Saccharomyces cerevisiae S288C: one gene and its partner. The protein of the gene in region 1 binds, or shares a complex with, the protein of each later gene. Each region holds a gene or a part of one and is shown in the gene's direction. Other genes may lie near its edges.

The links. Proteins that work in one complex are often made in the same cells at the same time.
Region 2: RPL36A (region 1) and RPL11B share a complex: the UniProt entries of both Saccharomyces cerevisiae proteins name them as parts of the large ribosomal subunit.

What each region holds. Positions count from the first base shown.
Region 1 is NC_001145.3:649,503-656,962, forward strand, and holds RPL36A (60S ribosomal protein eL36 RPL36A), read left to right. Parts: upstream 1-1,642; coding exon 1,643-1,658; intron 1,659-2,121; coding exon 2,122-2,408; downstream 2,409-7,460. Other genes in the region: mitochondrial 54S ribosomal protein bL28m MRPL24, read left to right, coding at 534-1,310; CMC4 (Cmc4p), read right to left, coding at 3,092-3,273, 3,346-3,385; ICY1 (Icy1p), read left to right, coding at 4,532-4,915; YMR196W (uncharacterized protein), read left to right, coding at 5,574-7,460. UniProt on the Saccharomyces cerevisiae protein: Component of the ribosome, a large ribonucleoprotein complex responsible for the synthesis of proteins in the cell.
Region 2 is NC_001139.9:647,883-650,907, reverse strand, and holds RPL11B (60S ribosomal protein uL5 RPL11B), read left to right. Parts: upstream 1-2,000; coding exon 2,001-2,525; downstream 2,526-3,025. Other genes in the region: lipid-binding protein PIL1, read left to right, coding at 291-1,310; mitochondrial 37S ribosomal protein mS44 MRP13, read left to right, coding at 2,766-3,025. UniProt on the Saccharomyces cerevisiae protein: Component of the ribosome, a large ribonucleoprotein complex responsible for the synthesis of proteins in the cell.

The sequences.
Region 1 (7,460 bases):
AAAGGAGAGTGTTTAGGATATAAATAAGACCGAGAAATTGTTAGTAAGCATTACTTCTAGCAGAAATAATGAACCACAATCGTGACAATATATACTCGAGTTAGCAGTTAACAGTAACCCTTTCCATACCATTCTAAACTTTGCAACAGTAAATATCTTGGCGTTTAACGTTTTATTTTATTCTACGTTTCTCAAATATCGGCTGTACTCATGTGGCACATCATGAAAAGAGCCTTCATATCAAGAATTCAAGAATTTTAATTACATCGTGACAACGGTTTCCTAAACTTTTAGTAAAAACAATTAAATGTGCAATTTTGTTGATTATACTGTGGACAAATTGAGCTTAGTACGTTTCCTTCTTCTCTTTCTGCAATTATATTTAATTAAATAATCTCGTATTCTCGCATCCGGGCACGCTTTGTGAAATTCATTTGAGAAACCAAAAACAGCTGATCAGCTAGAGCTATTAGAAGTTAGTGCCCAGGGGTATAGAAAAATCAGTTTAAGGAAGAAAAAGCTCACAGAAGAATATGCAAAAAATTTTCAGACCATTCCAATTAACGAGAGGCTTTACCTCTTCCGTAAAAAACTTCAGGCAATGGAGACTGATTGAAACAAGGAAGATTGCCAAACAACCGAACTACCAAGTTGGTGATGCTAAACCTTTACATATGCCAAAAGAAAGAAAGAAATTTCCAGATTACAAGTATGGGGAATCTAATATCTTCAAACAGAGTAACAAAGGTCTATATGGTGGATCTTTCGTTCAGTTTGGTAACAATATTTCTGAAAGTAAAGCCAAAACGAGGAAGAAGTGGTTGCCAAATGTTGTCAAAAAAGGTCTCTGGAGTGAGACTCTGAACAGAAAAATCAGTATCAAAATGACCGCTAAAGTTTTAAAAACAATCAGTAAAGAAGGAGGGATTGACAACTATTTAACAAAGGAAAAATCTGCAAGAATAAAAGAATTAGGGCCGACCGGATGGAAGCTTCGTTATAGGGTTTTAAAAAGAAAAGATGAAATAGAGAATCCCCCACATAAGGATGCACCTATCATAGAAATGGCTGGTGGTAAAAAGGCCAAAATTTACTATGATGAAATAGTAAACGGCTCACCAAGAAAAATATCAGTTGGAAGAAGAAGATTGATGTCATTTTTATATCCTTTAGAGAAATTGGAATATAGGTCAGTAGGGAAGGACCTGAACTACAAAAAATTTGTCGAGTTATTTGCCGACGTTCCAGTCAAGGATATCCTAGCTAGATTAGAGGATCATAAATTCGACTTATCCACCATCACCGTATAAAAGGAAGAAATAAAGAAGATAATTGCCATTCCGAAAATATCGTTGGTTTTCCCCTGTATATAAAAAAGCATATCTGTTTGTACATATGTAGGTATGCACACATTCTGAACATTATTGATGCGTATATGCTTGCTACATTAATTGGCAATTCATTTTTTAGACTGTTTTACACCCGTACATTTCACAGTTTTTTTTTGAAGTTAAATTCCAACTGAATGGAAGCCTCCGCTCCTATGAAATTTATTTGAAATCAGAGATTTCAGGATGTTGAACAGTATAGTACTGATTTACAAGTATCAAAGAAACAAGAAAGACAGCAAACACAATAAGAAATGACCGTTAAGACAGGTATGTGAGACATAAACAAGGAACTGAACGGGTTATGACGATTTTCGAACTTATAAAGGGGTTTACCCCAAATACGAGAAGAACATGAGTGCATTGAAAACTTAAAAGGAAACAAAAACAAGAATATTATATAATTTTGAGTGATTAATGACCAATGGAAATAGCCAGAGGAAAAATACCATTTAATATGCATACACAGGCTTATCTCTTCACTCCTATCTAAAAAACTATTGTGTTTGAAGATGAGGTCCATTTTACAAAAAGAATAGTATTGCGAAAACGCCTTCAAATGGAACATTTTAGTAGTTGCACCATTGTAAGAATTGCCATGGAAAACAATCACAAAAAGATGCTATACAAAGCCGTACATTATACGTCACTTCCCGCCGACACATATACACGTGTATATGTATGCCTATTTCACATGTTACTAACTGAAGACAACCTGTGTCCTTATATTTAGGAATTGCTATTGGTTTAAACAAAGGTAAGAAGGTCACTAGCATGACCCCAGCTCCAAAAATCTCTTACAAGAAAGGTGCTGCTTCCAACAGAACCAAGTTCGTAAGATCTTTGGTCAGAGAAATCGCTGGTTTGTCTCCATACGAAAGAAGATTGATTGATCTAATAAGAAACTCTGGTGAAAAGAGAGCTAGAAAGGTCGCCAAGAAGAGATTGGGTTCTTTCACCAGAGCCAAGGCTAAGGTCGAAGAAATGAACAACATCATTGCTGCTTCTCGTCGTCACTAAGTTTCTAAAAACTGATTTTTGTAATATATATATAGATATCATATTTTCTTTTTAACTTAGGAAAAAATAACACCAAAAAAAAAACCACCAATACTTTCACACATGAGAGGGCCTAGAGTAAAGTACCACTAGCCATGCAAAAAGCCCATGTACTGAGCTGATAGTCGTTACCAACCCTACATTTTTTTTCTGAAGCAATATAAGTGTTACCCGAAAAGTATGAATATTATTTTTTCTTCGTACCGTTATATCTTTTTCTGGTATATAAAGCGGTGAGTTTAGAAGAAGTTCCTGTGGTGCAAGAATCTTTATTGGTATTTAAAAAATCTTTTCTTTTCCTTTTTTTGGTTTTTTGAAAAAGGGTAATAATGTCTTTTATAATAGACACCCAGAGTCACGATTCGTCTTGGTTTTAGAGATTCTGTTTCGACAGTTTTTTTAGGCGGTGGACGTATATAGTTTACTTAATCGTTTACTATACGGTGGAGTACTAATACTATTTCACTGTCGTGCTCGCGGTTGATCTTAGATAAATATATTTCTTTTTCATAAAGAAAGTGAGTGGATCTTCCCTGGAAGTACGAATAATGTACTTATGATTAGATTCTCTTCACGCACATACCTTTTTTTTTTTTTCAATTGCTAGTTCATACATACGTAGAAAGAAGGGCCAATTGGAAGCCTCAACTGTCCCCTGGTGTAAGCTTTCGCTGTTTCATCTTCAACTCAAGAAGCGAAGGTAGCGGACAGCAGGGTGACCGTGAATCTTTTCCATTGTCATTGTAAAATTTTGAGCAGCAGATGTACAGCTGATCTATAACTTTAGCGCATTTAGCATCATCGTACTGATGTGATAGAAGGCAATCTAAAATTAATGTGAAAAAACGTTAGTGAAAAGAAAAAAACGATCGAATCTTTTGAAGTTAATATTACAAACCTTGGATGGCGCAGGCCTCCTTCTGGCATGGATTAGACATATTTACCTCTTATTTGAACAAATCTCAACAACTAAAAAAACGCTCAATATCTTGGAAAAAAAGAACAGTAATATTCTGTCTCTCCACACCCTCTTCTGAACTCTCATATACACCCCATGGGTGAAAAGTAATATCCGTAAAAGTCTCGCTAACGGATGACGTTAACAACGCACGCCCGCTCCTTGCGAAATTTATTGTGGGGACGTCGTTCACGTGCAAAAGTCGCCAAATATTAGCGACGGGCAACATCGGAAAAACTCTGCGCCCGCGATTCCGATTGAGATGTGTAATTTGTAGTATTGAACGTGACAGGAAACAAAAAATATCAAAACGCTAGCAAGGTTTAAGGGGAGGGGTGAAGAACGAACGATAGGATACTGCACAAATCAGCAATTAAGAAACAATATACAAAAACCCCCAAAGTGGTCATGTTAAGGAGGGCATTTTTCCGCATGGAAACGAAACGTGGGCATGACGTGGAAGCGATGATCCGAGCGCTTCTGCTACTGTGGTGACCACCGTACCAAAGGAGGGGTAATAAGACCCTGTGCCCTTTGCCAGCATACGTGTTACCCCCCTCAAAAAGAGCTGGCTGTTCGAGCTAGCTGCTCTTTCTGTTGCCATTCCCGTACCAAGAGCGCCCCGTAGCTCGATTTTCAGCACCTTGGTGGATATCAGGGGAATTTTACCGCCGCAAGCGATCAGCGTAGAGTGCGCACAGAAAACAGACAGAAATGACTGAAGCGGATGAAAAAAAATTTTCTGGCGCGGCCCAATCTCCGCGGAAGAGTCATTCCGTGAAATGAAAACAAAAGACGCGCATAGTAGGAGAAAGATTATGCAGCTTGATAGCGGGTTATCATACCAGCGTTAATGACACCTTCAAGTGGGTAAAGTACCCTTTGTTATCGTTTTCTTGGCTACGCGGATAGACTAATTTAATTGATATATATGTAGCTAGACACGTTCATAATTTTTATGCTCTAGTGCATGTGCCTCTTACTCATTATTGTCAAAAATTTTTGCATGTAATATTTGTTTTCCGTAGTCATTCAGCACTAGCCTGTTTGTTAATATATATAGATAGACAAACTAATGACAAGGAGAATTGAATTTCTCATATAACACATACAATAAAACCAAGAAATGTCTTCAAACTATGCCACTCCTTTAGACGATGAGGTGTTTCCCTTATCTTTTGCCAATTATCAATTTACCGAGCATGTGTCACTTGGTGAGCATTATTCACTCAATACTTCGGAAGATGCCAAATATAATAATTTGAATGGTCCTTTCGTGGTACCGAGAGACACCGGGAAGTTCGATTTGAACACAAGTTCTGCCTCGGACGAGACTGTGTTCTCGTTAGATAACCCTCAAGAAAACAACTACAAACACCAAGCCATGAATAACGTCCAGGATTGTCGCATGGCCGTCGCGGCCAAAACTACCCAGTCGTGTGATAAATTGACCGATCTTTATGCCAATGCCGCCCAACAAAACTACAGATTGTGGCTGTCTTCATTTTAGAATAACGATTAAGGAATGATAATCAAAAGAAAAAAACAATCTACCTACATATATATGCACTCAACATACATAAATACACACGCATTATTGTTTCTATAAACTTCCAACAGACAATATTCCCATACAAACATCAACTAACTGATTTCCTCTTCATACGCGTTCGCTTCACGTGATGTTCCTTTTCCATTGAAAGGAGAGCTCATCACAAGAGTTACAATGGGAGTGGCGGCGCACCGTCTGCTGACAAGAATAAGTGTAAGACCAGCTACCGGAAGAAAAAAGAAAATAAAATGGATACTCTGTGTCTCCGAATGCCCCTATTTGTTGTATCCATTGATTGTTATCCTGTCTTCTTCTTTCTTTAGTTTAAATCTTTAGCGATTCAGATCCAATTGAACAAAAAAAAGGCTAGATCAAAAATAAGGGGTAAAACATCATCTTGCGGGGCTAACCCAGATCAAAAGCGGCAAGCCAAGAAAACCTGTTTGATAACACTGTAATATATATATATATATATACTATACGATCGTACCTTGGTATCCACCGCTTTCTCAGCACCTCCAAATTTCTAAAGTGCAACTAAAGAGTCTTGTCAAGTATTCTTTTACTAGTGTTAAGACCTTGTATTGGTAAGAGATAGCAAGTCTAAACAGCAACAATGAACAAGCTAAGAGACAAATTTGTAGATTCTACAGTAGAAGAAGAAAGATTGCGTGAAAATCGAAATCATGAGAAATACTGGTATCGTTGGGGTCCCTACTTGAGTGAAAGAAGCTGGGCGACAGTCCGTGAAGATTATTCTTTAAACGGTGATGCTTGGAGCAATTTTCCTTTCGAACATGCCAATGCAAGAGTATTCCGTTGGGGTGAAGATGGATTATTTGGTGTCTCAGATAACAAACAATTGGTGTGTATGAATGTCGCTCTGTGGAACGGTAAAGATGAAAGATTGAAGGAAAGGTTGTTCGGGTTGACTGGGCCACAAGGGAACCATGGTGAGGATGTTAAGGAATTGTACTTTTACCTGGACAATACTCCCACTCATTCATATATGAAAGCTTTATACAAGTATCCCTTTAAAAAGGCCTTTCCATACAAAGAATTGGTGCAAAAGAATGGTGAAAGGGGATACGAGGATAAAGAATTCGAAGTTTACGATATAGATGGGCTATACCGTGATAGTGAAACCGGTGACAACCCTTATTTCGATGTTTTTTTTGAAATGGCAAAGGATGACGAAAACCCTAGTGAACTGAACTTTCGGCTAACTATACATAATCGAAGTAAAATCGACTCTGGTGAGCTCTACATAGCTCCCCAACTTTTCTTCAGAAATACTTGGGCTTTTGACGGTACTAGAACAAAGGACAAGCCCTTGCTTGAAAGAGATGCAGAAGCAGCGAACTTAATCAATATGACTCACAAGAAATATGGTAATTGCCAAATGGTCTTTCAGCCATCTCCAGGTGGGTTCTCTTCCGGTACAAACGAGGAAGAGGAAGATAAAGAGGTAGAAGATATAGATCCTCTGCTGCTATTTACCGATAATGAGTCCAATTTAGTAAAACTATTTAACGAAGAAAAGAATCCTTCCGAGTACACAAAGGATGCTTTTGAAGAATATCTTGTTCAAGGCAAAACCGATGCTGTAAATCCTGAAAATAAAGGAACAAAGGCCTGCGCAGTATATCACTTCAAAAATATTCCGCCCGGAGAGTATGTTACTGTGAGATACAAATTTACAAATGACCCAAAAAACTCTATCTTTAAGGCACAAAACCTGGCTGTCGTAGATGAAGATGAGTTTGATTTGATTTTCGATAACAGAGAGGAGGAAGCTGATAACTTCTACTGGAGGATTACACCTTTGCCAATCAGTGATGAATTAAGAAACCTTCAAAGACAAGCTTTTTCTGGTTTGCTATGGACTAAACAGTTCTACAATTTTACATATGATGCTTGGTATAATGGTGACGCCAATGTTAAGCCTCGCCCTCCCCCTAATAGAGCTAATGGCAGGAACAAGAACTGGAAGCACCTTTACATCGAAGATATCTTATCAATGCCCGACAAATGGGAGTATCCATTTTTTGCTTCATGGGATACTGCGTTTCACTGCATTCCTTTAGCTATGATTGATCCAGAATTTGCAAAACGGCAATTGGATTTATTAACCAGAGAGTGGTACATGCATCCTAACGGTCAAATTCCGGCATACGAATGGAACTTCAATGACGTAAATCCACCAGTCCATGCATGGGCTGTGTATCGTGTTTTCAAGATCGAAAGAAACATGTACAACCGTGAAGATCGTACATTTTTAGAACGAGTTTTCCAGAAGCTTTTGTTAAATTTTACATGGTGGGTCAACAGAAAGGATACTGAAGGTAAAAATGTTTTTGAGGGCGGATTTTTGGGTCTTGATAATATTGGCGTTTTCAACAGATCAGAACCACTACCCACTGGCGGTACGCTTGAACAGGCTGATTCTACAGGTTGGATGGCCTTTTTCAGCCTTCAAATGCTAAATATTGCATTAGAGCTC
Region 2 (3,025 bases), on another chromosome or scaffold:
CTCACGCACGGGACGGAAGAAGGGCGGCGTCCCCTGTTTTTCTGCTTTGGCTCATCTCTTTGGCTCCGACGGACGAAAGACGGGATTCCCCCTCCCGTGTCTTTTTATAAATAACAAGTGCTCATTCTGCATCCTTCCTTGTTTCCCGTCGTTTGGGTACAATGCGTTGATTATCCCAACCCAAGAAAGAAAATTTGTCTCACATCTGCATCTGCACATTTATTTACCTATACTTTTCCATTGTTAGCAGTATTGCAAAGTGAAGAATATATCAGCATCAAGTATATAGTATGCACAGAACTTACTCTTTAAGAAATTCCAGGGCACCTACCGCCTCTCAATTACAGAACCCACCGCCACCACCATCTACAACCAAAGGTAGATTCTTTGGGAAGGGTGGTCTAGCTTACAGCTTTAGGAGAAGTGCTGCTGGAGCTTTTGGCCCAGAATTATCCAGAAAGTTGTCTCAATTGGTTAAGATTGAAAAGAATGTTTTGAGGTCCATGGAATTGACAGCCAACGAAAGACGTGACGCTGCTAAGCAATTGTCTATTTGGGGGTTGGAAAACGATGACGATGTTTCCGACATCACTGATAAATTAGGTGTCTTGATCTATGAAGTTAGTGAATTAGACGACCAATTTATCGATCGTTATGACCAATACAGATTGACTCTAAAGTCCATCAGAGATATCGAAGGTTCTGTTCAACCATCTAGAGACCGTAAGGACAAGATCACCGACAAAATCGCCTACTTGAAATACAAAGATCCTCAATCACCTAAGATTGAGGTCTTGGAACAAGAATTGGTGCGTGCTGAGGCTGAATCTTTGGTCGCTGAAGCTCAATTATCTAATATCACAAGGTCAAAGTTGAGAGCTGCTTTCAACTACCAATTTGACTCCATCATCGAACATTCAGAGAAAATTGCTTTAATCGCTGGTTACGGTAAGGCTCTCTTGGAACTATTGGACGACTCTCCTGTCACTCCAGGTGAAACCAGGCCTGCTTACGATGGGTATGAAGCCTCTAAACAAATCATTATTGATGCTGAAAGCGCACTGAATGAATGGACACTAGACTCTGCCCAAGTCAAGCCTACTTTAAGTTTCAAGCAGGATTACGAAGACTTCGAACCTGAAGAAGGCGAAGAAGAGGAAGAGGAAGACGGTCAAGGCAGGTGGTCCGAAGACGAACAAGAAGATGGACAAATTGAAGAACCTGAACAAGAAGAAGAAGGTGCTGTTGAAGAACATGAACAAGTCGGACACCAGCAAAGTGAGTCTCTTCCCCAACAAACAACAGCTTAATCAAAATAAATCAACAATCTATTAGAAACAAAAAAAAAAAAACCAGCAGAAAAGAACAAGTTACCATACTAATTAATCTCTTTTAATTAATGCGTGGACAGATAATCATTTCTGTTCCCTCACTCTGAAAAAATTGTTTTATTTTCCTATTTTTTTTTTCATCTATTATTGTATTTTGCCCTCTCCTCACTCCTTACTTTAGTCTATTATCAATATCTCTTCCCCCTCCTAAATATGTACTCTTTTATTTTTTTTAATTGTGAAGGAACAATTCAAGTTAGAACTCTTTTGATAGGAAACATTATTTCCTGTGTAGCCTAATGTTTAATGCCTAATTTTTTTCTAAAATGCAGCAACATACATATGTTGAGTCGTATAGACATCTATATATAACAAGCACAGAACCGTCTAATTGGTATTTTTCAGGACATTTTAAACATCCGTACAACGAGAACCCATACATTACTTTTTTTAATATTCTTTTTGTTTTCACCGCCTTCTTTTTATTTTTATCCGAAGATCTTTTGGAACCCGCTCTGCGAATAGCGAAGCTAGGATACCAAATTGAAACTTGGACATAACTCATCATTAAAGAAGTATACTGTTAAGAGAGGCATTCATTTCGTGTATTATAACGTTTAGCATCAGTTACCCTTGAAAGCCCAACATATACAAAAATACGCGTCCAAGATGTCTACTAAAGCCCAAAACCCTATGCGTGATTTGAAGATCGAGAAATTGGTCTTGAACATCTCCGTTGGTGAATCTGGTGACAGATTAACCAGAGCCTCCAAGGTTTTAGAACAATTATCTGGTCAAACTCCAGTTCAATCCAAGGCCAGATACACTGTCAGAACTTTCGGTATCAGAAGAAACGAAAAAATTGCTGTTCACGTTACCGTCAGAGGTCCAAAGGCTGAAGAAATTTTGGAAAGAGGTTTGAAGGTCAAGGAATACCAATTGAGAGACAGAAACTTCTCTGCTACCGGTAACTTCGGTTTCGGTATTGACGAACACATTGACTTGGGTATCAAGTATGACCCATCCATCGGTATTTTCGGTATGGATTTCTATGTCGTCATGAACAGACCAGGTGCTAGAGTCACTAGAAGAAAGAGATGTAAGGGTACTGTTGGTAACTCCCACAAGACAACTAAGGAAGACACCGTCTCTTGGTTCAAGCAAAAGTACGACGCTGATGTGCTCGATAAATAATTTGGTCTCGGTATAGTCAGTGACAACATCAACTACTTAATATATAAGAACAAATAAAATATCCCAAAAATATCATATATCCTCATCACATTTGCAAGTCTAGCGCTTCGATGCGTTGTGAACACTTTGTCAATGTATTTAGTTGTATTCATACCCAATTTATTGGCACTTATTTGATACTCACCATGCAGGGTAATAGAAAATGTGCTGAAAAAAAGCTAAACCTTTCTTATTAAGAAAATGGGAACCATAACAGTGGTGATTAATGAGGGACCAATACTGTTGATAAGGGCATTGCACCGAGCAACGACCAACAAGAAAATGTTCAGAAGTACAGTTTGGAGACGTTTTGCATCTACCGGCGAAATTGCGAAAGCAAAGCTGGATGAATTCTTGATATACCACAAGACAGATGCGAAACTAAAACCATTCATTTACCGTCCCAAGAATGCTCAGATATTGTTAACTAAAGATATTAGGGATCCAAAAACAAGGGAACC